7 linked regions of the Mus musculus genome follow. The protein of the gene in region 2 purifies or fractionates together with the protein of the main gene of each other region. This does not show direct contact. Links are inferred from orthologs where the notes say so. Each region holds a gene or a part of one and is shown on either strand. Other genes may lie near its edges. The genes, in order: Fkbp5, Map3k7, Ripk2, Ripk1, Tgfbr1, Xiap and Peli3.

Region 1 (3,500 bases), on a different chromosome or scaffold from region 2:
ACACCCTGCGGTCCCGCTCGTTGTGCTCCTTCGCCTTCCTCTGGCACATGGAGATCTGCAGGCGAGCGGCCCTGTTCTGAGGATTGACTGCCAACACCTTCTCGAAGTCGCCCTTGGCCGACTCAAAGTCATTCATGAGCAGCTGGGCCTCGCCCCTTCTGTACAAGCCTTTCTCATTGGCACTGTCCAGTCCAAGGGCCTAAGAACAGAAGGACAGGTGGGCAGGTCACAGGTTGGAAGGGACAACTGCCGCTCCTGTCACCTCAGTGCTGAGGCAGCGCAATCACACGGAGGTGAGCAGAACTATGCACAAGAGTCACGCAACAATCAACCACGGTCCACCCACTTGTCAGTATTTTAGTATAAAATGTCTCCAGCTCGGGGGTGAAGCTTGAGCCCCTGATGGTGCTGAGAGCTTTGACTGGACCTCACTCTGTAGACCAGGCTGCCCTCGAACTCAGAAATCCGCCTGCCTCTGCCTCCCAAGTGCTGGGATTAAAGGCTTGCACCACCACTGCCTTTATTATTATTATGGTTATTATTATGACCCTTATAATAAAAACAAGCCCTGAAAATCTTCCTGTGAGGATCAGTTAAGTGAAACCCCATGGTTCACAGAATGGATCTAAAGAGGTGAGTCTTTTCACACCAAGCTCAGTGAGGGACAAGTGTAGAATGCACTCATCTGACGTGGAAAGACTGCTGCTTTCACATAATAACTATGTCCAAATCTTTCTCTATTTAGTGTATATATATATATATATATATATATATATATATATATATATATTTGTGTGTGTGTGTTGTGTATTATACAAGTATGTATCGATGCATCTGTGCCAGCGAGCACACACACACACACACACACACACACACACACACACACGCACGCACGACAGGTATCTTCCCTTTTATTTTCTGCTTTATTTCTTTTGAACCTAGAGCTCACAATTTTCAAGTTTTCAGAGAGACTGGCAGTCAGCAAGCACTAGTGATCCTTTATCCTGATCCACTTAGTGCTCCCCTTCTCTGTGGGTTAGGCCAGGCTTGTATGTTGAGTGCCAAGATCTGAACTCGGGCCCTATATGCTTGCACAGTGAGTACTCTTACAGCCTCTGAGCCACCTTTCCAGTCCTAAATCTACATATTTTAAGAATACATATGCAAAGTCTGGGGTTTATCTTAGCTTGCCTAGTATATACAAAATACTGAATTTTATCCCTATCTTAAAAACAAAACAGCCGGGCGGTGGTGGCACACGCCTTTAATCCCAGCACTCGGGAGGTGGAGGCAGGTGAATTTCTGAGTTTGAGGCCAGCCGTATCTACAAAGTGAGTTCCAGGACAGCCAGGGCTACACAGAGAAACCCTCTCTCAAAAAACCACCACCAAAAACAAAAACAAACAAACAAATAAAACAAACCACCAACAGGAGGTGGAGGCAGGAGGACCAGAAGTTCAGCTACAAAGCAAGTCTTAAGTCAAACTGGGATATGAGAGTTTGACTGAAAAAAATAAAGCAGTTATTCTTCATTTGGAAAAACTAGGACTCTATAGAGAAAGATGCTCTGGGAGGGGAGAGAGACACTCAGTGGGAAGGGCACCTGCTGATGAGCTTCAGTGAGCTTGGTCCTTCAGCATGGGGGAAGGAGAACTACCCCCAGGCCGCCCATGTGTGTACCATGTGCACACGCACATGCAGACAACCTCTCCTACCATAGTAAATGTCTAAAGGATTGGAGAAGCCATTCCCGGGCTAAGAGCATGGCTCTTGCAGAAGCCTCGAGTTCAGTTCCCAGCAGCCCAGCAACCCTATCACAGCTGCCTGGGACTCAAGCTCTAACGATCAGACTCCCTCTGCTGGACCCAGGGAGCACCTGCGCATACACACACACACACACACACACACACACACACACGCGTGCGCGCGCCACATACAGATAACACAAATATTATCTGTACATGTACAAATATTTTAAAGATAAAGTAAATCTTTAAATGAGTGGCTTTGGGAGAGAAAGTTGATGGGAATTTTATAGCTGGGCTTTTTTTCTTTTTCTTTGTTTTTGTTTTTTCGAGTCAGGGTTTCTCTGTGTGGTGCACCCCTTTAATCCCAGCACTCGGAGGCAGAGGCAGGCAGATTTTTGAGTTCGAGGACAGCCTGGTCTACAAAGTGAGTTCCAGGACAGCCAGAGCTATACAAAGAAACCCTGTCTCAAAAAACCAAAAAAAAAAAAAAAAAAAAAAAAAAAAAAAAAAAGCATGAGCCACAACTGCCTGGCTTTTTTTTTTTTTTTTTTTTTTTTTTTTTTTTTTTTTTTTGATAGCTGGGCTTTCTTGTGTGCTTAAATTCTGAACTTTGTAACAGCTATATATTTAAAAAAAAAAACAGCACAAACTTTAAAAAGTATAATTAACAATAATATTCCTCTCTCAAGGCAAAACAAGCCAACTAAACTCTTATATAAAATGTCTTTTTTGCCACTTTATATCTATTTTTTGTTGTTTTTAAAAAATGTATTATTGTGCTAGAAAGATGGCTCAGCAGTTAAGAACACTGACTGCTCTTCCAGGGATTCTGAGTTCAAGTCCCAGCAAACACATGATGGCTCATAACCATCTGTAATGAGGACTGATGCCCTCTTCTGGTGGGCAGGTACAGAGTCCTCATACACATCAATAAATCTCTAAAATAATATATTATTATTACCTTTGTGTATGCACATGTAATACTATGAATGAGGAAGAGGCCAGAGGACATATGACAAAGTTGTTCTTTCTTTCCCACAAGGTCCTAGGAATCAAACTCCTGTCATCAGGCTTGACAGCAAGTGCCTTTACCAGCTGAGCTATCTTGATAATAGTTATTTTTTGAGACAAGAACTCATGTAGCCCAGGCCAGCCTTGAACTCTCAATTCTTCTGTTTTGCCTCTCAAATGCTGAGACCATAGGCATTAACCATGGTGGTAAATGCTCTGAATAAGAATGTCTCCCCCCCCCCCCAGGCTTATATATTTGAATACATCATCACCAGGGAATGGAATTGTTTCAAAGGATTAGAAGGATTAGAAATTAGGAAGTGTGGCTTGTTGGAGGAAGTGTGTCACTGGGGGTAGGCTGTATGGCTCAGTGGTAAAGTGTTTGCCTAGCATGCACAGTGCCCTGGGTTCAATCCCCAGCCTTGCAAACAAAACAATAAAGAGGGAACCTCAAGGCTCTTTGTCTCCTCTCCCACAAAGGACCAGGGTAAGGAAGACCACAGATGAAGACTCTTATCAATTCTGTTAATGGCTTTATGTAAAATGCAGGATAAAAGTAGTGCACAAAAAGCCCCATCCTTTATGGCGTCCCAGCTCATGCTGACCATAGAGGAACAGCCTGAAGGGGGCAGAGGTGCCACACAGATAAACGGAGAGTGAAGTACGGCTCACCCACCTTGTCGCAGCACTCCACGGCTTTGTTGTACTCTCGGAGCTTCAGGTAGCACATGGCCAGGTTCA
Region 2 (3,500 bases):
GGCAATCTACAGTTTTCTCTCCATCTCCCTGGGTACAGCATGAGAGGTATTTGTTCATATCCTATGCAAATTGGAGCAAGAAGCATTTAAAAGTACCGGGATCATGAATCCAGTTCCACAGCCGTTACACCAACACAGGTGGTCTATGGTACCTGATATGACGATCTCAGGGACATCCAGAATGTTGCCAAATGAAGCGGTTTTACGGTGGCCCCGTTTAGGCTTGGAATAGGCTGAAAAAACACACATGTACAGTATACATGCAAACAACCACACACAGTAACACAGGAAATGACTGCACAACAGAACAGTTCTGAAATAGTTGTGTGAATCCATCTCATGCAAAAAAAAAGGGCATGCAGAACTATCTAACTCTTCGTCCATGCTTAGGGAGGCGACGTTAAAGAGCAAAGAGTTTCAGAAGTTTTACACACTGGTTTTAATTAGCAGGAAAAAAACCCAACAACAAATAGAGAGAGACAAAGCTGCAGGACACTGAAGAAGCTAAATTTCCGATGTGTTCTTAGAAATAGTGTACCTAAGTAAAATCAGTGGTATGAGGTGACGGGAGGGACGGCAGGACAGGAGGTGCAGGAGTTAGTAAGACAAGCTGCCATGTTTGTGCTTACGACACAAACAGGAGCAGGAAGATCCTAAGTTAGGTGCGTCCTGGAGTGTGCTATAAATCAAATTCCGTGATTATCAACAGTCATCATACCAAAGCATTAAAACATATTTCCCTAAGTTTATCTACAGTGTTTCTAATAAACTGAATATTTATTACAATTTTAAACGTTTAGAGTATATAACTGTTAAACAGGAAGACTGTCAAAAGCTGGAATATGAACCTTTCAAAGTAAGATAATTCATTAAAAATTCAAATTATTTAAAATTCAAAGGATGTATTGTCTTACATTTAGGTAGAGAGGACAAACTAATTTTATGTATGATTATCCTTAAACTGGAAAAATGTCATTCTTATAATATGTAATTACAAATCTGTATCTGATTAGAAAAACAGGCTTAGCAAAATCCTAAACTATTATGAAAACATTACTTCCCCTTTCAGGGCAGAATCAACATTATGTGTGTATTCTGGATGATAACTGAACTGAAGTGGACCCCCAACAATGCTGGCAGTATGTCTCTGTCTACAGACATCTGTGCTTCATGGAGACCAGCAGACCAGTGATGGGCACTGACCTCTACTGAACCTGACGTTTTCTGAGGATTTATCTCAGGTGGAGACAGCTATTTCCCCACTCATTTCTAGTCTTTTCTTCTCCTTAGCATGGGCTCTGACTTTACTAATGCAGCAATTTCAGCTATGGCTCAGACCCCTTGTGGAATGAGTGTGGAAGCTGCAGAAATTGGTTTCAAAAGCTTTCCCCCCTTCTGTTTCCTTTTCTTTCCTGCTACCTGAGCAGTGAAGTGACGGCTTGAGCTGTCACAACCATTTTGGACCACACGGTAACCTTGAGGATAGAAGTTAAACAACAGAGATTGTGACACAGAGATAGAAAACCAGTGCCTAAAGACCACAAGGCAAATCTAGACTTGTCTCTGTGGGCTCAATAGCTTAGTGTTTAAACACTGTCTCTTCAGACAGTCCTTCCTATCTAAAGGCTTTTAGTGCAGGTTGATAAATCAGTGACTGTGATTAGTTTAGACAAGTACAGTACAGTTCATCTGGATGCCACTCTCTACAAAGAGAACACACACAATCAGAACATTTTACTTAGAAAACATCTCCGTTTACATTTTTTTTAAAACTCTGTATATATAATTAAAAGATATGCAGATACATCGAAACTATCCCCCGAAGAGGAGAATTTATCAAGTTTTTACTGTTATTTGTTTTACACTTTTACATGCTCCAATACAATGCTCATTTTTACAATTCACTCTTGTCTAACCTTGGAAGATCAGAAATAACAAAATAAGACTCAAATTAAATTGGCACCACTAAAGTGAAACCCGGTTTAAAAAAGGTGCTGGTTCACCAGGTGACAAAATGCCATTCTTTTTAATTCTGGCTACGTTGTCTATTGTACATTTTAAGAGCTGACAAAATGAAATTTAAACACTATCAAAGCCAACGTCTGATGAAACTACTACTATTGATTCTATCATCAGATAAGCAAACAGCTAGCTGGGCGACTCTGGCCGCTGGCAGGAAGAGCAGGACAACAGCTCCTGGGGCACAATTTCCTGCCAATCATGTTTCGTTTCTTGGGCTCAGCATAAAAACACTGGAATTACTCAGCCATAGAAAATACTCTGGTATTGGTGAAAGTTTGATTTCTGAAGCTTGTTTATGTTTGAGGAGAAATATATTTGATATATTTGTTACATTTGAAAGTCTGTAACTAGGAAGTGTATTTTATAATCCAAATACATTTTAAGCCATACTTGTCTATTTAAAATTTGAACCAAAACCTTTACTGCTGAAAGCTTAGAAAACACCGTGAACCCACCATCTGTTTTTAGAAAGCAGATATAAGACACGACCCATCGGCCCTATTGAATACAACCGCGAGTACCATGTAAAACCATAGGCATTTTCTCTTTGGGCTTGCAGCCCCTTTACCTGCAGTCGCCACGATCCTGGCTTCTATTTCAGACATGTCAGCACTCATCCTCTTGCCCTCGGAAGTGGGGGGCAAGCTCTCCACACTGCTCCCACGAGAGGCTCCCAAGCTCAGGCGTCCAGATTCACTCTGTTAGGATTACAGGTCAATCTCAGTTACTGAGGATCTTTTCCTGTAGAGATCCTGGGCAGCCCAGGATGAAGATGGCAAGTGGCTTTTCATGCTGATGGTGCTGTTCTGAAGCAGGGAACCTTATAACGGAGGGACCTAGTAAAGCACAGCAGGCTCAGATATACACGGCTCAAAGCAATCACTTATTACCAACAACAGCCGTAATACAACCAACCTAACAGGATGACAGCCTTGTGAGAACTTAACTGGTCCATAGAACCTAAATACATTTCACACTGTTTGTAGGACCCTTAGTTAGAGATGGGTCACAGGGAGGAAGGGGCAGGGCTAACAACAGCAACAGACAGGAGAAAGGAAAACAAGTTGTTTGGTAAAAAATGACAGCAAAATTTCATGTCTCTTACCACAAGCTTATTTGTCTGGTACAGAAAGAAAACTCAGGATTGTTACATATCAGAAGATTGCAAATAATCTATAACTTTAGTATAATGTTGTGACTACTAGTAAAGAAAACATACAATTTTACTTTTAATAACAAACCTGTTGCTTTGCCTGGTTTTTCAAAAGTTTTGACTCCAAGCGTTTAATAGTGTCGTTTGTGGCAGGAACCTGTTCCATATTTGTGTCACTTTTATTACTGGTATTTGTAGAAGCAATGTCCATGAATGAGCCTAGAAAAGCAGACACATTTCAGACTACAGGCTGGGAATAATATGAATGCCTTATTCAATAGTGGACAAGACATATGTAAAAATAAGACTTCTACACCAGTGAAAA
Region 3 (4,219 bases), about 16 Mb from region 2:
CAGCATGTATACGTATATATATTCTTAGTTGAGATATATACACATTATATTGTAAGTACATATTTTTATATTTTTGTATTTTGTTTATGTGTATGTGTGTTGCCTGCAGAAGCCAGAAGTGTTGGTCAGATTCCCTGGAGCTGGAGAGCAGGCAGCTGTGAGCTACTAGATTCGAGTACTGATAACAAACCTCAGATCCTCTGGAAGAACAAGCCCTCTTAACGGCTTACCCATGACTCCAGCCCAAGAAAACATAATCTTAGAATGTAGACTTGTAAAAAACTATTAAGAACTAGAGTATAGGGAAGGAAATGTCGGTGTTATATATATTACACTAATAATATAAGGGACAATTACAGATTGTAGTATCCTGGTGCGTGTAGGATCGTGGAACTATATCGCTCACAAATATGAGATATTTGCGCCAAACATCGTACTGAACAGTTATCTAAGTAGAAAGGTGTTTACAGTAAAAAGATGAAATAGTGCTGGATTTTGGTTGTTTGGTTTTGTTTGTTTTTGCCTTTGTTTTTCTTTTTGGATGGAAGACTTCCCAAACACAAGAAATGGTTTTATATTTCTATTTGTGAGTAGGCTTTGAGGAATAAAAGAAGAAACCGTTTCCTGGTAAGGGAGCAAGTCATATAAGCTAAACACCTCAATTTGTCACACTGACAGCGCTAGCCTCTCTACCTCACTTCTCACAAGTGGCAGCCACTGAGTAAAGACTGGAGTGGAAGCAACCAGATGGTTTACAGCTCAGGAAGTGGGGCACCAGGCTCCCCAGCAGTAGTCACCCCACACCCTATCACGTCCAGGGTTTGGAGTCTAAGGAAGACACTCGGGCCAAAGGAAAATCCAGCCGACCCACCTGACACCAGACTGGAGAACTCCGGAGGGATTTTCCCCGGAGGAAATCTTTTCCAAGCCTCAGCGATGTCCACCCGGCTTGTGGGGGGAGGGAGGCCTCTGAGACACGCCCATGATCTGCAGAGGGAGGAGCCGGCAGAGGGAGGAGCCCGCAGAGAGGGGAGCTTGCAGAGGGAGGAGCCGGCAGAGGGAGGAGCCCGCAAAGATGGGAGATTACAGAGGGAGGGGCCGGCGGAAGGAGGAGCCAGAGGACAGAAGAGCGGGCGGAGGAGGAGCCGGCGGAGGGAGGAGCTGGGGGAGGGCGGAGCCGACGGAGGGAGGAGCTGGCAGAAGGAGGAGCCGGCGGAGGGCGGAGCCGGCGGAGGGAGGAGCTGGCAGAGGGAGGAGCCGGCGGAGGGAGGAGCTGGCAGAGGGAGGAGCTCACAGAGAGAGGAGATTGCAGAGGGAGGAGCCGGCAGAGGGAGGAGACCGCGGAGGGAGGAGCCGGCGGAGGGAGGAGCCGGCGGAGGGAGGAGCCGGCGGAGGGAGGAGCCGGCGGAGGGAGAAGCCAGGGGTAGGAGGCAGGGGCTGAGGAGTTGGTGAAGGTAGGAGCCCGCCCAGGGAGGGCCGGCGGAGGGAGGAGCCCGCCGAGTCCAGGAGGAGGGAGGAGGACGGTCCACCCCGGCGCGGCCGCAGACCCGACGGGCTCCCTGGCACAGCTGACCGGGCCGGAACTGCAGCGGCCACGCGGGAATGGGCCGCCCCGGGACCTAGCGCCGCGGCCAGGGTCGGGCGGAGCCGCCGCGCAGCCGGAGCCATGAACGGGGACGCCATCTGCAGCGCGCTACCCCCCATCCCGTACCACAAGCTCGCCGACCTGCACTACCTCAGCCGGGGCGCCTCTGGCACGGTCTCGTCGGCACGACACGCAGACTGGCGCGTGCGGGTGGCAGTGAAGCACCTACACATCCACACGCCGCTGCTCGACAGGTAGGGCGCCGGCGCGGGGCCCCACACAGACGCGGGCTGGGTGGTCCACAGACCGGCCGCACTATGGCGATGCGCCGGCTCCGCCGCGGCGAGTCCTTAAGTCCTTGGGCTAACCTGATCCAAGGGAGAAACCATCCTGGACGTGCGTCAGACTTTGCAACTCGCCCTGCCTCTCCTCCCACCCGAGGTGTTCCCACTCTCCAAAAACCTGCAATCACGGCCACCTCTAAAACCCTGTTTATTGAACCCGACGTGTGTTGGTACAGTGCTTGTGGGCTTTGCTTTGTTTTAGCTAGCTGTTAGCGGTAAGAGCTGTGGAACTCTAAAAACTGCTCTTGGAAATGAAGTACGCAGTGACTGCAAAATACACACCGGAGTTTGAGCATTTAGCACTAAAAAGAAAAATAATAATACTATACCGGTGTTTTTATATTGATTAAACGTCAAAATATTTTTCTAGGGTTTTATGTGTGTTTCACTCCTGCTCCTGAGCCTGCATATTATGGCTTGGTTTGGTTTGATTTGGTTGGTTTTGTTTTCTTTGTGGTTTATTACGTGCCCTCATGAAGTTCAGTTATCAAATTCTACATTACCAGTTGTTATTCGAGCTCTTGCCTTGGAAGTCCCCAAAGGAAGTGTGCAATGTTTTTTGTAACAGTAAAATGAATCAAAAGCTATTAAATGGTCAAAATTTGTGAAGAATAAAAGTTTTGACCATCCCTTGCCCTGGTATTATTTGTGTCCAGCTCCCACATATTCAGAAGAAAGAAAAAAAAAAAGCGTTGGTTTCTGTTTCTAGGAAAACATTACAACTAAATACCATAGATCTGTGGCTGTATGTGTTAGTCAATGGATCTAGTCAGAACTCTTGTGTGTTTCACTTCCATCAGAAATTGAACTAGACCTTCATTCAGTTCTTAGTGCACTTGCTAACCTTGGTGGCTACAGGCCTCTTCTCCTGCTGGATCTAGTGTGAAAATACAGAGATCATAGCGGCCCTATTGGTCAGAGGCTGTTAACCCTGGGTATCAGGTCAGATACAGCATCAGATAACTAACTCTCTTGCTTCAGCCCTGGTAGAATGTTGGACTTTCATCTGCCTGGAGGCGCCCTCCCTCCCTCCAAGGGCTAGATCACAGTGTATGTGGAGCCAGTGCTGTGTGTGTGTGTGTGTGTGTGTGTGTGTGTGTGTGTGTGTGTTCACGTGTTCGAGCACGTGCGCCTAAGTAGTCAACTTTAAAGGGAGGTTGGTTAGTACCAAGCAAACGAATGGTCTATGGAAATGTAGCACTAATAGACCACTAGGTAGACTAAAGCTAGTTGCTTTCTCACTTTTGATTCTGCTTTTCAAAGCTTCGTTTGTGCCATTTGTAGGCCAAGGGAAAAAGATGGACAGGATGGTATTGCTTTCCCATATTCACCAACCACTTATGGTATAATTTCCTTGCATTGGATAGGGCATTGTCTTTATAAAACCAGCACAATCCCCTACCTTACTGCATTGCATTCTTTTATCTTGCTGTCTAAGATCTTACCATGAGCACAGGCCTAGGCTTATGCAACTGACTCTGAGGGTGTCTTACTTCCTCACCTGTTAAATATGAATAATAAACACTGTATGTATATTTGTTGTGCTCTGGTGTGGATAATGTACCCATTGTTCTTTAAGATTACCTGAAAAGAAAATAAGTCTAGGTGACGTTGCATATTATTTTAATAATTAGTGAGTCACTCTCCATTGCCAGTGAGTGGGACTTCCATAGCAGTCTTCCAGCCTTAATGGACTGATGACTCTGATTGGTTGTTCAAGTACCCTAGAGATGGAGAGCTGTTTCCTATTGACATTTTGAGTTAGGCCATTTTCATGATACAATTATTGAAGCTGTATTTTGCATTTTAAGTTTCTAAAAATCTTTTGCTTTTGTTTTCCCCCTCAATCTTGTTGAATTCTAACCTCACAAACTATCTGATTTGCTTTTCTCATCAAACAATAGAATAGAAAAGCACAGATGTTAGAGTACCAGGGCTACAATTTAAATCTGACTTAAACCCTGTCACTTTGTATTGTTGTCACCAAAGGATCATTCATTTTTTTCTGACTGTAGATGCTCCAATATGTAAACCAGAGAGAATGAAACAAGCTTTAGAGAGTTGATTCAAGGGTTGGACTGTATATAAAATGGCTGGCAGGGAGGAGGAATACATCATACCTTTCTATGTTTGTATGTACATGCATGTGTTTGTATTAGCATACACACATAGGAGATCCATGTGCTGCTGACCCACATGCATGATGGGTAGGCCAGAGGTCAACTTCAGGTATTGTTCCTCAGGACCATTAAGAGAGAGAGAGAGAGAGAGAGAGAGAGAGAGAGAGAGA
Region 4 (3,500 bases), on a different chromosome or scaffold from region 2:
TTGCTGATGTCTCTTAAACCTTAGTCTCTGACTATGATCAAGATATTCACAGACCTGTTAGACCCAGCAGATACACACACCCCACATAGATACCACATACATATAGACACACATACACAGAGAGAGAGAGGGGGAGAGAGAGAGAGAGAGAGAGAGAGTGCCTGAAATATATTAGGTACTCAGGAGACCTTTGTTGAATTAGTCATCCCAGTTTAGAATAAACTCATGGGGTAAGTAGACTACTTTATAGTATAGCTTAGCTTGGGAGTTGCTATAAAACTCCACTATTCTTCTAGAGTAGGAACTTACTACCAGGCATACACCCCATACCTTGATTCTATTTGTGAATGAGCCTTTTTCATTATCTACTGTGGACAGTTCAGTCAGCTGGGAATGGAAAGGTAACTAAATCATTGTTTGTACAGGGGAAAAGTCATCCTTCGGTTTGGTTAAGTGTGGAAAGGAAGGACTACTTTCTGTGACTTCTTCGTGATTACTAACCCCAGTAGATCAGGGATCACCATCTCTTTGCTGATATCTCTTAAACCTTAGTCTCTGACCATGACCAAGATATCGACAGACCTGTTAGACCCAGCATTTATACCACAAGCACCTCCAAAGTAGCATCCCCCAAACAAGTTGCCAAGTTTATGAGCACAGTACAGGTTGCTTACCACCTGCACTGAGTGGCACAATAAGCAACTTTAACTGTTCTCATCATGATTGTTTTTACCAGAACCCATCATTCTTACTTCTAGAGTATTAGTTAGCATGTATATTTCAAGTCACTCTCCTTAAACTGAGCTTCTTAAAGCTCAGACCATCCTGTATTTGCCTCTGTATTGAACTCGGGAGAATGCCATGACTTTACCCGTTTGTTTGTTCTGTGAAAAGGTAGCTTTGTTTTGAATTTTGTTTCTCTTCTGCAAAATCAAAACATCATCCTACCATTTCTGTAGTAGTCTGCATCAATTCCTTGCCACAAGACTGTTACTTTATGGAATGAGACAGCCATGGAAAAATCATATCCTAGATAGAGAGACAAAAGAGCAGTATTATCCAGGTCCTGGCATCTTCCTGCTTGAGAGTAAAGTGTAACTGAAAGCCCCAACTGAAGTTCACCCCTCTTTGCAGATGTCATCTGTACTGAGCAGTTCGTGATCTGCATAAAATCTGGGAACAGGCCAAATGTAGAGGAAATCCTTGAGTACTGTCCAAGGGAGATCATCAGCCTCATGGAGCGGTGCTGGCAGGCGATCCCAGAAGACAGGCCAACATTTCTTGGTAAGAATGGGTTGCGTGCCTATTTAGGATGCATCTAACATAGTGACTCTCTTCAGTAAGGTGACACTGGTAATTTAGTTACTTTTCCTATTGCTATGACAAAATAGACGACAAAGCAACTCAAAGAAAAGGTTTATTTTGGCTCAGTTTAAGGGTAAAGTCTACCATGGCAGGACGCCACAGTAGCTACAATACAAGGCAGTTGCCCACATTGCATCTAGAGCCAGGAAGGAGACAGACATAGATGCTGGCAGTCATTTGCTCTCTTGTATTCAGTGCAAGGTCTCAGCCCATGGGATAATGCTGCGCACATTCAGGGTGAGCTTTCCCTGCTTCACACCCCCACAGGCACACCCAGAACTGTGTTCCCTAGTGTCACCCAGAAGTGCGACCGTAAATCCAATCAAGTTGGTAAGGAAAATCAGCCATCACAGTTAGAAACATATGTTGAATACCACATCACATGTAGCTTCAAACTGACTAGATAGATATCAAGCACCTTGTCAATGAAAAGGTCCTACCCGTCCCCAAAGCATGGGCTTCTTCATTTCCTCCTTTAGTTTCGGGGGATTAGCACTGTTATTGTTTTGGGTTTTGTTTTGTTTTGTTGTTTTGTTTTGTTCTTTTCGAGACAGGGTTTCTCTGTGTAGCCTTGGCTGTCCTGGAACTCACTCTGTAGACCAGGCTGGCCTTGAACTCAGAAATCCGCCTGCCTCTGCCTCCCGAGTGCTGGGATTAAAGGTGTGCACTACCCGGCTACTGTTACTGTTTTGAAGCACATATAATGCTTTCCATTTTAGCTCTTGTAAGTATACTGTCCAGTGGTGTGAAATCCATTCTGCTTTTTCAACATTTACCACAATTTATTTCCAAGTTTCCTCAGCCAGAGCACAGCTCTGTACTCGGGAAGCATTAGCTCTGCGTCCCCTTTCCTCTCTTCTCTTCCCAGCCTTAGCAGTCACCATTCTGTTGACTTTGACTTCCCCAAGTGTCTCATGTAAGCCAAAATTGCACAATACTTCTGTTTTGTATCTGTCTTGTTTTACAGACTAAGTCTTTAAGGTTCATCCATGTGGTAGTATGTGTCCGAATTTCCTTTTTATTGCAGAATAAGATTCTACTCTATAGATAGTTTTTGTGTGAGTGTTCATCTGTTGATAAACACTTGCCCTAACCATTTCTAGCTTCTTTCACTTATTTGCCTCCCTAGTTAACATTCTTATTAGTATCCTTAGGAATGAATTCTGCCATTTAGGTTAGCCCTGTAGTTGAGGAAATTGAAGGAGACATGAGCGTTTGGCCCGTTCTGCACCCATCCTATCCCCTAGATTACCTAGGAGTATGAAGTAGGCCAAAGGAGAAGAGCAGAGATACAATAGGAGGCATTCAGGAATGTACAAAGCATCATGTTGTTGTATTTATGTGAGAAAAGAGAACTGGAGTGCCACCCATTCCCACTGTATAGACCAAGCTGACCTCAAATTTACAGAAATCCCCTGCCTCTGCCATCTGGTTGCTGTGATTAAAGGTATGCCACCATGCATAGCTAAAGCCCCATCTGTTACAAGTCCCACAACTCCTGACCGTGTTGCTGGCTGAGGACCAGGTCATACACTGAAGGTTGTTCAAAATTCAAACTGTAGCATTTTCTTGTAGGTTCTTAAACTTGTTCTAGAGTTTTAGTTTGATTCATCTGTGGTGTTTTTTTCTTGCATGGTTTTCAAGGACATTCTAGGCATGATATTATCCATATGTTATTTGATCATATGGTTTAATTTTCCAGTTTGCCATTTTATCACCCTGAGTTAAGTATGTAAACCTTTCCTTTCTCCTTATGCATTTCTCATTTATACATGTGGAATGCATCAGACTATGTTGCAGCTTTCCTTCAGTCTTCATAAACTCTAAAAGAAAGTTTTTTGCTTTTATTTACCCATTGTTTTGATTGTCATGCGTCATTTTTCCGATGCTACATATATTTACACTTCTAACACTATGCAGGCTATCATGACATTCCACATTTAAGAGCTTAGTCTCATGTGACTATCACCACATGGTACCCACTTAGGATGCCTAGGCTTCTGCCCAGCTGACTATGAGTTTGGGTGTATATTCCCCATCTCAGGCTTAGAATAGACTCATCTGGCTCAAAAAATATTGCACTTAAATATAACTCAATGTTATAAAACATTAAATTCAGAAACAACCAGATAGAA
Region 5 (3,500 bases), about 15 Mb from region 2:
GACATTTAATATGACCAAGAATATATGAAGAGAGCCTCTACTCAGAATAGCTATTAGTTGCTGCTTCTCCTAGTATCAACGTGGCACTGAATTCATTGCTACCATGTAAATCAAGCAGTTGCAAGATCTGCACATATGAGATAAAAAGACTGAATTAAAAGCTGCCTTCCTCAAAGGGTAGTGAGACCTCAAAACTCCACTAACTCTACCCTTCCCAAGATAGAATCCACAAATACTTACAGCTACATAACATGTGAAAGTCACCTACACTTGTACATTCATATTAACTATATCTGCCTTCCTAGAAAAAGGCCTATTATTTAACATTAACCACATTTGAATTTTAAATGCAATTCCTTTCCAAAAAAGAAAAATCAAAACAAAACAAAACACTGCTTTGATCAAATAAAGAAAAAGAAATGGCTTACAGAACAGCATACAACTTTTCCTTCGGCAATAGACAAGCCTCCCCTTTCAAAAGGAGTCTGTATACCATAATGATTACATCCATAAAGCACTGTACATGTTTGGAGTGCCACTTCACTTCTTAAAATAAACTCAGGCTAAACGTCTCAACTGCAGAGCTCCAGTGCTCCTGTGGGGTGTTCCCGCATGGCAGTCACTGCTTATCAATGCTACAGCCTTGCCTCAGTGGTTCAAGCACATCTGGGTAGGAGAAAGGCATGAAGACTGAATGACATCTATCACAAAAACCCTCAAAAAACAAAAACAAACCCAGAAAAGGTTTAGGTTACTCAGAAAAATAAACTTTTTGAATGAAAATGATACAGGACTTAACACCGCCTTTAAGTAGTTCTGTTCGTTTCCACTTAGACAGATGCAAAAGTAGCACTTACTGGTGTAGCACAACCCTACTGTGAAGGTGTGTTGTGTTCAGAGTGTGAAGGAGCTGTGCACAAATACAACGGAGCAACTGTGCCCCCACGCCTCCACGAGGTCATATTTTTTAGACTATAGAGTTTAAAGTGTTAGTTTAAGATCTTGAAAAATTATAGAACAGTACATTCAAAGTGAACCAAGGAAACACTAGTGGTTCAGAGTCCTCTGAGAATGTACTACTAGGAGTGAAAATCAGAAGTGCTTCATTTAGTGCCACACCCCAGCTCCTTCACCCTTACAGAAGGTCAACAGCACAGCAGCTCCCTAAGGGCTGGCAGTTGTCTTTAAAAACAAGCTTTGTTAATAAAAACAAAAGTAGACTACACAACATTCTGTAACTGTCTGGAAGAAGTATCCATAGTGCACAGAAAGGACCCCACGGCTGCCTCTGGGCCCAGAGAAACCCTGGGAAGCTTTCAGTTGACCATATTCCACTGCTGCAAGAGGAAGCAGAGCCCTCTGTTCTCTCAGTGAGGTAGAACAACCAGCCTCCTAAACACCCAGGAGCAGATATGAAGAGAGCAGAGTTCCCACGGTGTTTCAGTTACATTTTGATGCCTTCCTGTTGGCTGAGTTGTGACAATGTTTTTTTAATTCGCAAAGCTGTCAGCCTTGCTGCTCCATTGGCATACCAGCATTCTCTCATAATTTTAGCCATCACTCTCAAGGCCTATAAGAAAACATAGGAAAAATAATTAATGTACACATACTACTTGTTATTGATCTGTGACTTTAAAATGATAGGTATAAGGTGCCTATTCTAGGTTCTTTGTAGTATCAAATGAGGACTTCAGTCTCCATCAAGATCCTGGTGCCAGCTACTGGAAAGGCTGTGGACAGGGGAGCTTTTTCAGGAGACCTCAGAATTCCTGGTTCAGCACTGAAAGAATGCACACACTATGGCACGCGAGACACTGGGTCCAAACATAACTGCACTTTGAGTCCTTTAGAGCAAAGCTATGGTAGAAAGCAGGGAGAAGAGCTCAAAGTGCTGGAACACAGGTTCTGCCCACTCCAACTTGTCCCAGCCACTTCTCCAGCCCAGCAGAAGGCTTAAGGGTTTTGTCCAAGGAAAGAAAGACTGGCATCTTCTCTGCCCAGAGAAAAAGGGCAGGTATCTCACACTGGAAACATGCTGGACTCTGACTGTAAGCCTTCTCCTGGAACATAGTAGTAGCACCTGTGCACACTCTTGTGGATTCCAAAGGAATCTCCCCTGGAGATCTGGGCAGTCCAAGAGAACAGGCCTGACAGATTATTAACAGTGACCAGAGAATCAATCAAATAACCCCGAGAGATCACTAAAGCGTACACCTGTAAGCTCCAATCACATGCACCTGCGTAGGCCTTCATTAAAAGTGAGAACTGTCTGATCGAACATTTGAAAAAAGTAACATGAAATGAAGAAAGTGAAACCAACACAAGATGTAGAGAGAGAACACTGGATTTTCAAAGCTCTACTGTTAGTAGGCAGGGTGTAGCTCCTTGGTCCAGTGTTTGTACAGTATGCATACCATGTTCAGGCTATAGTACCACCACACCACCAAACCCCTGGGATTCATCATTGGTTCATGTATTTTGTTTTAAGTTTATTCTCTCTGTGTAGTCTTTATACTCAAAGTTACTTTATTCTTCCCAGAGTTCCCTTCAGTCCCTGTATTTTATACTACAGCACTCCTCAAATGTCTAGTGATAGAATAATAAGGTTCTGTACGTAGTGAATAGGAGGAACACTCAGAGATAGTTACAAATAACTACTTGAGGGAAAGGTCAGGTGGGGAGCAGGGGGAGGAGGGCAAGGGGAGGGAGAATGAGGAGATACATGGAAAACCTGAATGAACTACAAAGCTGATAAATGTTCCAGTAAGTGGAGCAAAACCTGGAGGGTGGGTAGGCTTATAGTCAGGTAACCAAAGGTGAAGAAAAACAACAAAGGCAATGGGAGACTACCTAAGACTGCTTCAGAAGTACTTCCTAGAAAATATGTTTCTAGATTTAAAGGACCATGTACCAAAGTACACATAAACATTTATTTAAATAATTATTTTTGAAGGCCTATCATTTAACAAATATTTCTGTAGGTGTTAGATACAGCAGTGAACAAACTTATGAAATTTCTATCCTCAAAAAGTTTCCATTTCGGAGATAGACCAATTAATAAATTACTGTGAAATACAAACCTTTAAGGTGGTAAATGCCAAGAAGAAAAACAATTTAGAGAAGATAAAGCCTGCCAAGGGAAAGCATATTCTCAGAGGGAAGGGAAATGGCTAATGAGAATAGTTCTAACAGAGAGGAGCATACAAACAGGAAGAACAGTAAACAAAGAGGGAGGTGAAGGCCCAGGAAGGACACAAAGGCAAAAGAAATTCCAGGACAGAAGCCACACAGTGGCTCTCAAAAGCAACCAGTCCAGACTGGAAACAGCAGATGGCCCGGAAGACACATTTATGTACGGATCATTTTGAGGTTTGTGTGTGCATTTATGCATGTGTTATTGCAGACTGAACCTAGGGCCTCATACACACTTGGCAGGCACGCTAGCACTAAGCTATATGTTGAACCATTTAGATTATTTTTTAGTTTTACTCTTAGGTCTC
Region 6 (4,038 bases), on a different chromosome or scaffold from region 2:
ACACAGCCCAGGCTGACTTGAATTTGCAATTCTCCTGCACTGACTCCACAGTGTTGTTGGGATTACAGGTGAAAGCCACCACACCTAGCTTTCTTTCCCCTTTCTCTCTCCTATTAGTGTATATTCATTGTACAAAATAGTGGGTTATGTTAGTTTCAAAATTACATCATGTATTTTGATCAAATTTTAACATTTTCTTTGATATGCTCAACAAAACAAACAAACAAGCCCAGAGCCCTATACATGGTAAGCAAGTATTTACTGTACTACATACACCAATACAATCTTTACAGGCATAACCTTTTAAAAATAAGTTTAATCCAAAATGATTCTGTAAGTTAGATTTATCTGTATGTCAAATTTGATATCTGAATTTCATAGTTTCTACACTATTTGATAATCAGGAAGCTTATTCTTTAAAGATAAAGCCAAAGCTTTTTAGCATTTCTCATGAATACAGAACAGTAGGTAAAAGCCAAAAGAGAAACATAAATACAGACCTGTTCTGTGAAGACGAAATAAGCCATACTGGATTTTACAATAAAAATTACTGATAAGTGGATGTTCATAAATACCAATTGCAAATACTTATGTTGATATACATCTATGTGAGCTTTAAAACTTTCTAGAATAAGATCAAACTTGTTTATAATATTCAAACATGTAAGGCACAGGAGAAAAGCAAAGTTTAGTTTTCCATCCGTCTTCTTCAGAAGTAACCAGGGTTACCATTTTTTTTTATCTCTTTCATGGATCCATGTGACCCAATCCAAACAGCTATATAAGCTTATGTTTCTGTGTCTGTAGGTAGAAATCTATCTGACCTAAAATGTTTTCCATTCTTAAGTTATGGGGAAAACAATCCCTGACTCAAGTTTCACATACATGTTTACTACACTGAAAATGACAGAAATGTTAAATAGAATATACTTAGATATTTGCTTAGAGGTTATATTGAAGCAACAGGAGTGGGGTGGCCAGGGAGCTAGAAAATCTGAATTCTAATCTAACTAGCATGGCTAGCATGGTAACCTTACACAAATCATGAAACCCTGAGCCTTAGTTTCTGCTTTGTAAAACAAAAGAGTTGAGCTGAGATCCTTCCCAGCTCAAAAATGCTATAATTCTAAGATGGCCGGCTCTTAACAGTGTTCTCTTGAAACTGGCTACAAAAAAAAAAAAAAAATCCTATTAAGGAGAAAATGAGAAGAATGAAGAAACACTGTAGAACTTTCCAGTCTTTAAAAAAAAAGACATTTCTAGGATTCATTCACTATCAAGGTATAGCTAGGATGTCAGAAGTAGTGCCATAATTGTACTTGAAGGTAAAGTTGTAGATTATTACAAACTGATAGGTTTAGTCTTCCCCAAGGCTTATGTTCTCCTTTTTGGAGATGGAGTGAGCCACTGCTTAGTTTCAGCAATCACCACTCCCTTCCTCCCTCCCGCCCCTGCTTAAAAGAAAAACACCCCACAACTCAAGTAAACTGTGGAGTTCAACGGAGTTAAAGTAATGGAACTGAAAGTCATAAGTGACATTTTTTTCTCTCAGAAATATGCTGGGGAAGTGACCAAGGTGACAAAGAGGCAAAAATTACCAGCTACTTCCTCCTCTGGAAGCTCTTTGGCCCTCATTCTTTAGGGTTCACATGCCCTTGCCAGAAACACACCACCCTGCCCCATACAAGGTATCGAACTGGGGGGGGGGGCAGGGAGGTTGATCAAATCTTTTTTTTTTTTTTAATTATTTTAACTAGATTTACCTTAGGTGTCACGAAGTTTAAGGAGGCTGACCCGAAGGCTTGAAGCCAGCCCCCCTACCCACGGCTTCCAGGGGCAATCCCGGGGAGCCTGGATAGGGAGCCCAGTCCAGCATTCCCCGCGGGCGGGCGGGCGCGGCCTTCCCGCCCAACTAGGCAGAGCTAGCCCAGGCGGAAGGGAGGGGGAAGAAATGGAGGGAAGGAAAAGGAGGGAGGGAGGAGAAGGGGGGGAGAAGGAAGGAGGGGGGAGGAGGAGGAACGCGGGAGGAGGGAGGAGGAGGGAGGGAAGAGCAGAGCAGAGGAGAGGAGAGGGAAGAGAGGGGAGGGGAAGGGAGGGGAGGGGAGCAGAGGGAGAGGAAGGGAGGGCGGGAAACCCACAAGAGCTGTACCCACCGCGCCAAGCACTCCAGTCCTAACTAAGCGCCGCGGGCGACGGGTTCCCGAGGGGAGGGTCCCGGAGGAGGGGCGGCCCGAGCCCGGATCAGGAAAACACAACTCTGCTGGGCGGCGGGCCCCGGCCTAGGAGAAGGAAACGGAAGTCACTATGTCTGTCTCCCTCCCTTCCTTCCTCCCTCGGCCTTCCCAGGCAGGACAGTCCCATCGGATAAAACTCGAAGACCGGAACCAAGTGCATCCACGTCAGGACTTTTAAAAAAAAAAAAAACTCAACCGGTGCAGCCCGCCAGCTTCCCGGGCTCGCCCAGCCACTGGCCTCAGGCCATGTCCTTCCCACCGCCACCCCCATCCCCTCCCCCGGGAGCTCCGCTCCCGCCCGGCAGAGCCCCTCCTTCTTTCCCACTCCGCCATCTTCCAGCCTACCTCTCTGGCCGAGCGGCCCTCGATTAGCGTCGCGCCCGCTCGGGGGACCGCCAAGGTCCCGCCGCCTCCCAGAGCCGGAAGGGGACATCGAGAAAAACCCCAGTCCTCATTATGCAGCCCAACCCCCCCCCCACCCCCCAACCCCCGCCTCCCCAGCTCCAAGCCAGAGCCTGACCCAGCGGCTGCACATGCGCACAGGTCACTTCTCAGTCCCCGCCCCCGACTCAAGCATTTCCTCTTTTAGCATCCAGGACTTTTTCTCTCCCCCCTCCCCACCGCCCCCCAGCTTTTACCTGGACTCTAGGGTGAGGAGTAGGGGAATACAGGTAAGAAGATTAAAGACCAAGGGGAAAAGGGCACAGTACATTGAGCTCTCACAGGATACCAGGGACTCTGCTAGGTATATAACATATTCCTCAATGTTATTTTGAAAACCATGGAAGGCAGAACACCTCTATTAAATTCCACCCTACAGAGGAAACTGAGCCCCGGAGAAAATAATTATCCCAGTATCACCCACCCGACAAAAAAGTAAACTGAGATTAGAGAATCGGTTGTTTCCAAATAGAGGAAGCTAGAAGGAATGACGAGACAGGGAGACAAAAAGAGGGTGAGAGAAATTTGTGAAGAACAAAGAAAAATAATAGAACAAAGATGGAAAAGACACAAGAGAAGATTATACAAAATGGTGATCATGCTATATGCTTGTAGGGTTGTCAGATAAACCTATACTTAGGTTTCAGGAACTTTGACTCTTAATGGCTAGTGTACTAAGATGGATTGGGTATATTTAAAAGGAGAAGACCATGGGCACCATCTGCCTGGTTAAATAATGCTGTCCTTGATGAAAAGGAACTTGGAAGAGAAGACAAAGAAATGTATTTGGTTCTTCAACTTTTGCCAATGTAATATTCCTTCTAATGCAATCTTTTTTAAAAATTATTACATTGTCTTACTGTATGAGGTCAGAGGGCAACTTGAGTCTGTTCTCTCCCAGCATGTGGGTTCTAGGGAAGAACTAATGTCCTCAGATTTGGTGGTGATGCCCTTCCCCACTAAGCCATCTGTGTCCCAGGCCCCCTGGGGTGTACTCTTACAGCTCTGAAAATTGCATCTGACTTATTACAATGAAGGTAATTCCAAGCGAGGGCTGGGAATGAGGCTCAGTAGTAGATCACTTGTCTAGCACATACAAGGTTGAATTCAAACCCCACCACTGCCAACAAAACAACTGCAAGCAAATACTGATCTCACCTGTCCAGCACTCTTAAATAAGCAAACCAACAAAGCTCCATCTTTATCAACAGAAGGGTCAGAAGTTCAAGGCCATCCTCAATAGGAAGTTTGAGGCCAGTCGGAGATGCAAGGGACCCTGTCTGGGAAAAAAAGAAAAGAAAAAAAGTCCCAGGCTACCCTCATTTGTCTTGATATTGTCCACCATCAACTCATTTAGAAGAGG
Region 7 (3,500 bases), on a different chromosome or scaffold from region 2:
GAATGGGCGGGCACACCTGTGAGGGATTTTTGCTTCATTAAATCATTTGAAGTAAGCCGGACGTGGTGGCACACACCTTTAATTCCAGTACTCAGGAGGCAGAGGCAGGTGGATTTCTAAATTCGAGGCCAGCCTGGTCTACAGAGTGAATTCCAGGACAGCCAGGGCTACAGAGAGACCCTGTCTCGAAAAAAAAAATCATTTGAAGTGGTGAGACCCACTTCTAATCTGGATATTTGAGGTAGGAAGACAACCTTTAATCAAGATCTTATCAAGGGGGAAAATCCACCTTTAATCTGGGCTACACCTTCTGCTGGCTGCCTATCCACAAAGGACATAGAGGAAGAAGCTCTCTGCCTGCTTGCTTTCCCGCTCCCTAGCAGGTCCATTCCTTCACTGGCATTACAGTCCACTTTTTTGGGATTCAGGTGAAGATCAGCTGAAACATTCATCCTTATACACTGAACATCTGCTGGCTTCTTGGACCCTCCTTCCATTGGCAGACAGCCATTGTTGGATTAGCTGGACCACAGCCTGTAAGCTATTCTAATAAATTCCCCCATAGGCCAACACAAACAGAGAAAGACATACAGGCAGACAGAGATTCATTCTATATGTTCCATTTCTCTAGAGAACCCTAATACATTGTGTGACATCACATCCCACTCTTGGAGCGTTGGCTACCTCTAGAATAATGCTGATAGGTGCTAGAGAGATGACTCAGTGATTAGGATCACTGGCTGCTCTTGCAGTGGACCCTGGTTTGATTCCTAACACCCATATGGCAGCTTACACGGGTTTGTATCTCCAGGTCCATACCTTCTTCTGGCCTCCACAGGCACTGCATGCTTACAGTGCATACACATTCATGCAAGCACTCATACATCTACAAACATAAAAATAAATTTTAAAAATGTTAATAAGTAAAACATCTAACCAACAAATGGGGCATGGCAGCCAAGAAGTATTTGAAAGGCTGTTAGGGGTTGGGCACACTGCAGAGGATGTCTATTATCACCATTTTGGGGTGTATCTGTTCTGTGGTACACGTGCATGCATGTGCATGGGTGTGCCCACAGAGGCCATTGGGTGCCTGCCATTATCCCGATTTATGTCTGTCACTGAACCCGGAGCTTGTGGTTTTGGGTTAGGATGAGAGCCAGCAAGCCCCAGCTACCTTCCTGTCTTCGCCCTCAACAGTCCTGGGGTTATAGCCACACATGCTTTTAATTGGCAAGTGCTGGGAATCCAGACTCAAATCCTCGTGCTTGCACAGCAAGCCCTCTTACCCTACTGAGCCATCATCTCTCCAGACCCATCAGCACCATTTCCTGAGTGAGTAATGACCCAGTGGGCTCCCCTGCTCCAAAGAGGCCATGGCAGGTAAAAGACTGAAGACCTAGGTCTGGGCACAAAGGACAGGATGGCGTTCAGTCTACTGGGAGGAGCGGCTTGCCTTGGAGACGAGTGGTGTGGAGATGTGGTGCATGACATCTGGCTTCACTCCGTTGGCATGTGGCCGGCGGCTCAGTGCCAGGCGGCTTCGGCGGCGGCCCTTGTCTCCACTTGCCAGACACCCATTGTAGCTGTGGATGTGGTGGTGAAGAGATGGTGGAAGGAGAGAAAGGAGAGAGTGAGCCCGTAAGAGACCCGAAGGAAACTGCCAACTTGGGGCAGACCCTACCTTGATGAACAAGGGCTAGAACCATCTAAACCTAGAAAATCCCCGAATGGCAAATGGCTAAATTGAGGGGTAGCAGGTGGGGGTCCCTCCTTTAAAGGGCCAAGTGTTCCCTGCATACCTCAGCTGTAACAGCAGGTGCTAGGGTGGCAAAGCTGATGCACCACGGCCATGCTCAGTGGAGGAAAGGACTGAGCCTCAGCTTCTCAGGGAACCCAGGCACCGCCTGCCATGACCCAGGCACAAGTCAAGCACACACAAGGCCCAGTGGGAGGAGGTGGGAATAACCCCAGAATCAGGATTCCGGGAGAGGAAACACCTATGTTGGGCCTTGAAGAACTGTAAAGACTTCATCTGCAGCAAAGGAGCTTTCATCATACGGCGTCCGAAAATGACCAAGAAGAAAACACCTTCTAATTCCTCCTCATTATCTCCACACGTGTCTAATTTCCACCTTTCTTTCCAGCTTTTATTCAGGGGGAATGACCATGAGAATCAAGGCTGAGGTGAGCCATTGCCTTGATTGCTGCTGGGGATGGCTGCCTCTTTTCCTGATCCTTCGTGTTTTTAATTACCTAATGGAATCTGCAGAATGTCCTGCCAGGCAAATGGCTTTCTTCCTACTTTATAAATTAGACAAGTGAAAGCCCAGGGAGGTAAAATGAGTTGTCTCAAGCTAAGAAGCAAAGACAATAACAGCAGCAGCAACAACAACAAAAGGCTGGACTGTGGTCACTGGACTGTAGTCACACTCACCTAGATTTGCCAAAAATTATTGGGTTTTGAGCCAAGGCCCTGAGGACTAAGATTTAGTGACTTGGGTGGTATAGTGATAAGAATAACAAGCTAAGAATGCTTTTCTCTAAGAAGTGGGGAGGCACAGAAAGCTTTGGAGAAGAATATCAGAAGTGGCTGAACCTAGGGCTGGGGGTGGAGCTCGGTGGGTAGAGTACTGGCCTAGCATGAGCAACACCCTGCGTTCCAATCCCAGCACCACAGACCGAAGTCTGCTGGCTCATGCCTGTAATCCCAGCACCACAGACTGCAGTCTGCTGGCTCATGCCTGCAGTCCCAGCACCACAGACTGCAGTCTGCTGGCTCATGCCTGCAGTCCCAGCACCACAGACTGCAGTCTGCTGGCTCATGCCTGCAGTCCCAGCACCACAGACTGCAGTCTGCTGGCTCATGCCTGCAGTCCCAGCACCACAGACTGCAGTCTGCTGGCTCATGCCTGCAGTCCCAGCACCACAGACTGCAGTCTGCTGGCTCATGCCTGCAGTCCCAGCACCACAGACTGCAGTCTGCTGGCTCATGCCTGCAGTCCCAGCACCACAGACTGCAGTCTGCTGGCTCATGCCTGCAGTCCCAGCACCACAGACTGCAGTCTGCTGGCTCATGCCTGCAGTCCCAGCACCACAGACTGCAGTCTGCTGGCTCATGCCTGCAGTCCCAGCACCACAGACTGCAGTCTGCTGGCTCATGCCTGCAGTCCCAGCACCACAGACTGCAGTCTGCTGGCTCATGCCTGTAACTTGGGAGGAATACAGATCAGGAGCTCAAGGTCATCTTCAGCTACATAGGGAGAGTGATGGAAGCCGGCCTGAGCTCTGTGAGACCCTGTCTCAAAAAGGGAGACAAGAAGATGCCAAATATAGGACCAATTAGAATTTCCTGGTGAGTTTGTTTAAATTCATATTCGCTAGACCCATCCAGAGATTCTGCCTCTCGAGGTGTGGGGTTCTTCTCTATATCTCCTATTTTCTTTTCTCTCATCTCTCTCCTTTATTCCCTCTCTCTTCTTTTTGTTGATTTTGGGGGC

Evidence for each region.
Region 1: the proteins of Map3k7 (region 2) and Fkbp5 purify together in Homo sapiens (affinity purification with mass spectrometry; 4 studies listed by BioGRID and IntAct, with this or other methods). This does not show direct contact. The link is inferred for Mus musculus from reciprocal best matches to the Homo sapiens genes MAP3K7 and FKBP5.
Region 3: the proteins of Map3k7 (region 2) and Ripk2 purify together in Homo sapiens (affinity purification with western blotting; 4 studies listed by BioGRID). This does not show direct contact. The link is inferred for Mus musculus from reciprocal best matches to the Homo sapiens genes MAP3K7 and RIPK2.
Region 4: the proteins of Map3k7 (region 2) and Ripk1 purify together in Homo sapiens (affinity purification with western blotting; 5 studies listed by BioGRID, with this or other methods). This does not show direct contact. The link is inferred for Mus musculus from reciprocal best matches to the Homo sapiens genes MAP3K7 and RIPK1.
Region 5: the proteins of Map3k7 (region 2) and Tgfbr1 purify together in Homo sapiens (affinity purification with western blotting; 3 studies listed by BioGRID). This does not show direct contact. The link is inferred for Mus musculus from reciprocal best matches to the Homo sapiens genes MAP3K7 and TGFBR1.
Region 6: the proteins of Map3k7 (region 2) and Xiap purify together in Homo sapiens (affinity purification with western blotting; 3 studies listed by BioGRID). This does not show direct contact. The link is inferred for Mus musculus from reciprocal best matches to the Homo sapiens genes MAP3K7 and XIAP.
Region 7: the proteins of Map3k7 (region 2) and Peli3 purify together in Homo sapiens (affinity purification with western blotting; 3 studies listed by BioGRID and IntAct, with this or other methods). This does not show direct contact. The link is inferred for Mus musculus from reciprocal best matches to the Homo sapiens genes MAP3K7 and PELI3.

The regions. Positions count from the first base shown.
Region 1 is NC_000083.6:28,402,650-28,406,149, forward strand, and holds part of Fkbp5 (peptidyl-prolyl cis-trans isomerase FKBP5), read right to left. Parts: coding exon 3,436-3,500; intron 200-3,435; coding exon 1-199. UniProt on the Homo sapiens protein: Immunophilin protein with PPIase and co-chaperone activities. Component of unligated steroid receptors heterocomplexes through interaction with heat-shock protein 90 (HSP90).
Region 2 is NC_000070.6:31,991,607-31,995,106, reverse strand, and holds part of Map3k7 (mitogen-activated protein kinase kinase kinase 7), read right to left. Parts: intron 3,395-3,500; coding exon 3,264-3,394; intron 2,721-3,263; coding exon 2,591-2,720; intron 234-2,590; coding exon of another isoform or gene 153-233; exon of another isoform or gene 97-152; intron 1-96. UniProt on the Homo sapiens protein: Serine/threonine kinase which acts as an essential component of the MAP kinase signal transduction pathway. Plays an important role in the cascades of cellular responses evoked by changes in the environment.
Region 3 is NC_000070.6:16,160,844-16,165,062, reverse strand, and holds the start of Ripk2 (receptor-interacting serine/threonine-protein kinase 2), read left to right. Parts: upstream 1-1,419; 5' UTR 1,420-1,666; coding exon 1,667-1,839; intron 1,840-4,219.
Region 4 is NC_000079.6:34,015,863-34,019,362, forward strand, and holds part of Ripk1 (receptor-interacting serine/threonine-protein kinase 1), read left to right. Parts: intron 1-1,134; coding exon 1,135-1,284; intron 1,285-3,500. UniProt on the Homo sapiens protein: Serine-threonine kinase which is a key regulator of TNF-mediated apoptosis, necroptosis and inflammatory pathways.
Region 5 is NC_000070.6:47,408,722-47,412,221, reverse strand, and holds part of Tgfbr1 (TGF-beta receptor type-1 isoform 1 precursor), read right to left. Parts: intron 1,571-3,500; coding exon 1,445-1,570; 3' UTR 1-1,444. UniProt on the Homo sapiens protein: Transmembrane serine/threonine kinase forming with the TGF-beta type II serine/threonine kinase receptor, TGFBR2, the non-promiscuous receptor for the TGF-beta cytokines TGFB1, TGFB2 and TGFB3.
Region 6 is NC_000086.7:42,066,598-42,070,635, reverse strand, and holds the start of Xiap (E3 ubiquitin-protein ligase XIAP), read right to left. Parts: upstream 2,801-4,038; 5' UTR 2,580-2,800; intron 2,486-2,579; exon of another isoform or gene 2,280-2,485; coding exon of another isoform or gene 2,154-2,279; exon of another isoform or gene 1,764-2,153; intron 1-1,763.
Region 7 is NC_000085.6:4,936,593-4,940,092, forward strand, and holds part of Peli3 (E3 ubiquitin-protein ligase pellino homolog 3), read right to left. Parts: intron 1,587-3,500; coding exon 1,457-1,586; intron 1-1,456. UniProt on the Homo sapiens protein: E3 ubiquitin ligase catalyzing the covalent attachment of ubiquitin moieties onto substrate proteins. Involved in the TLR and IL-1 signaling pathways via interaction with the complex containing IRAK kinases and TRAF6.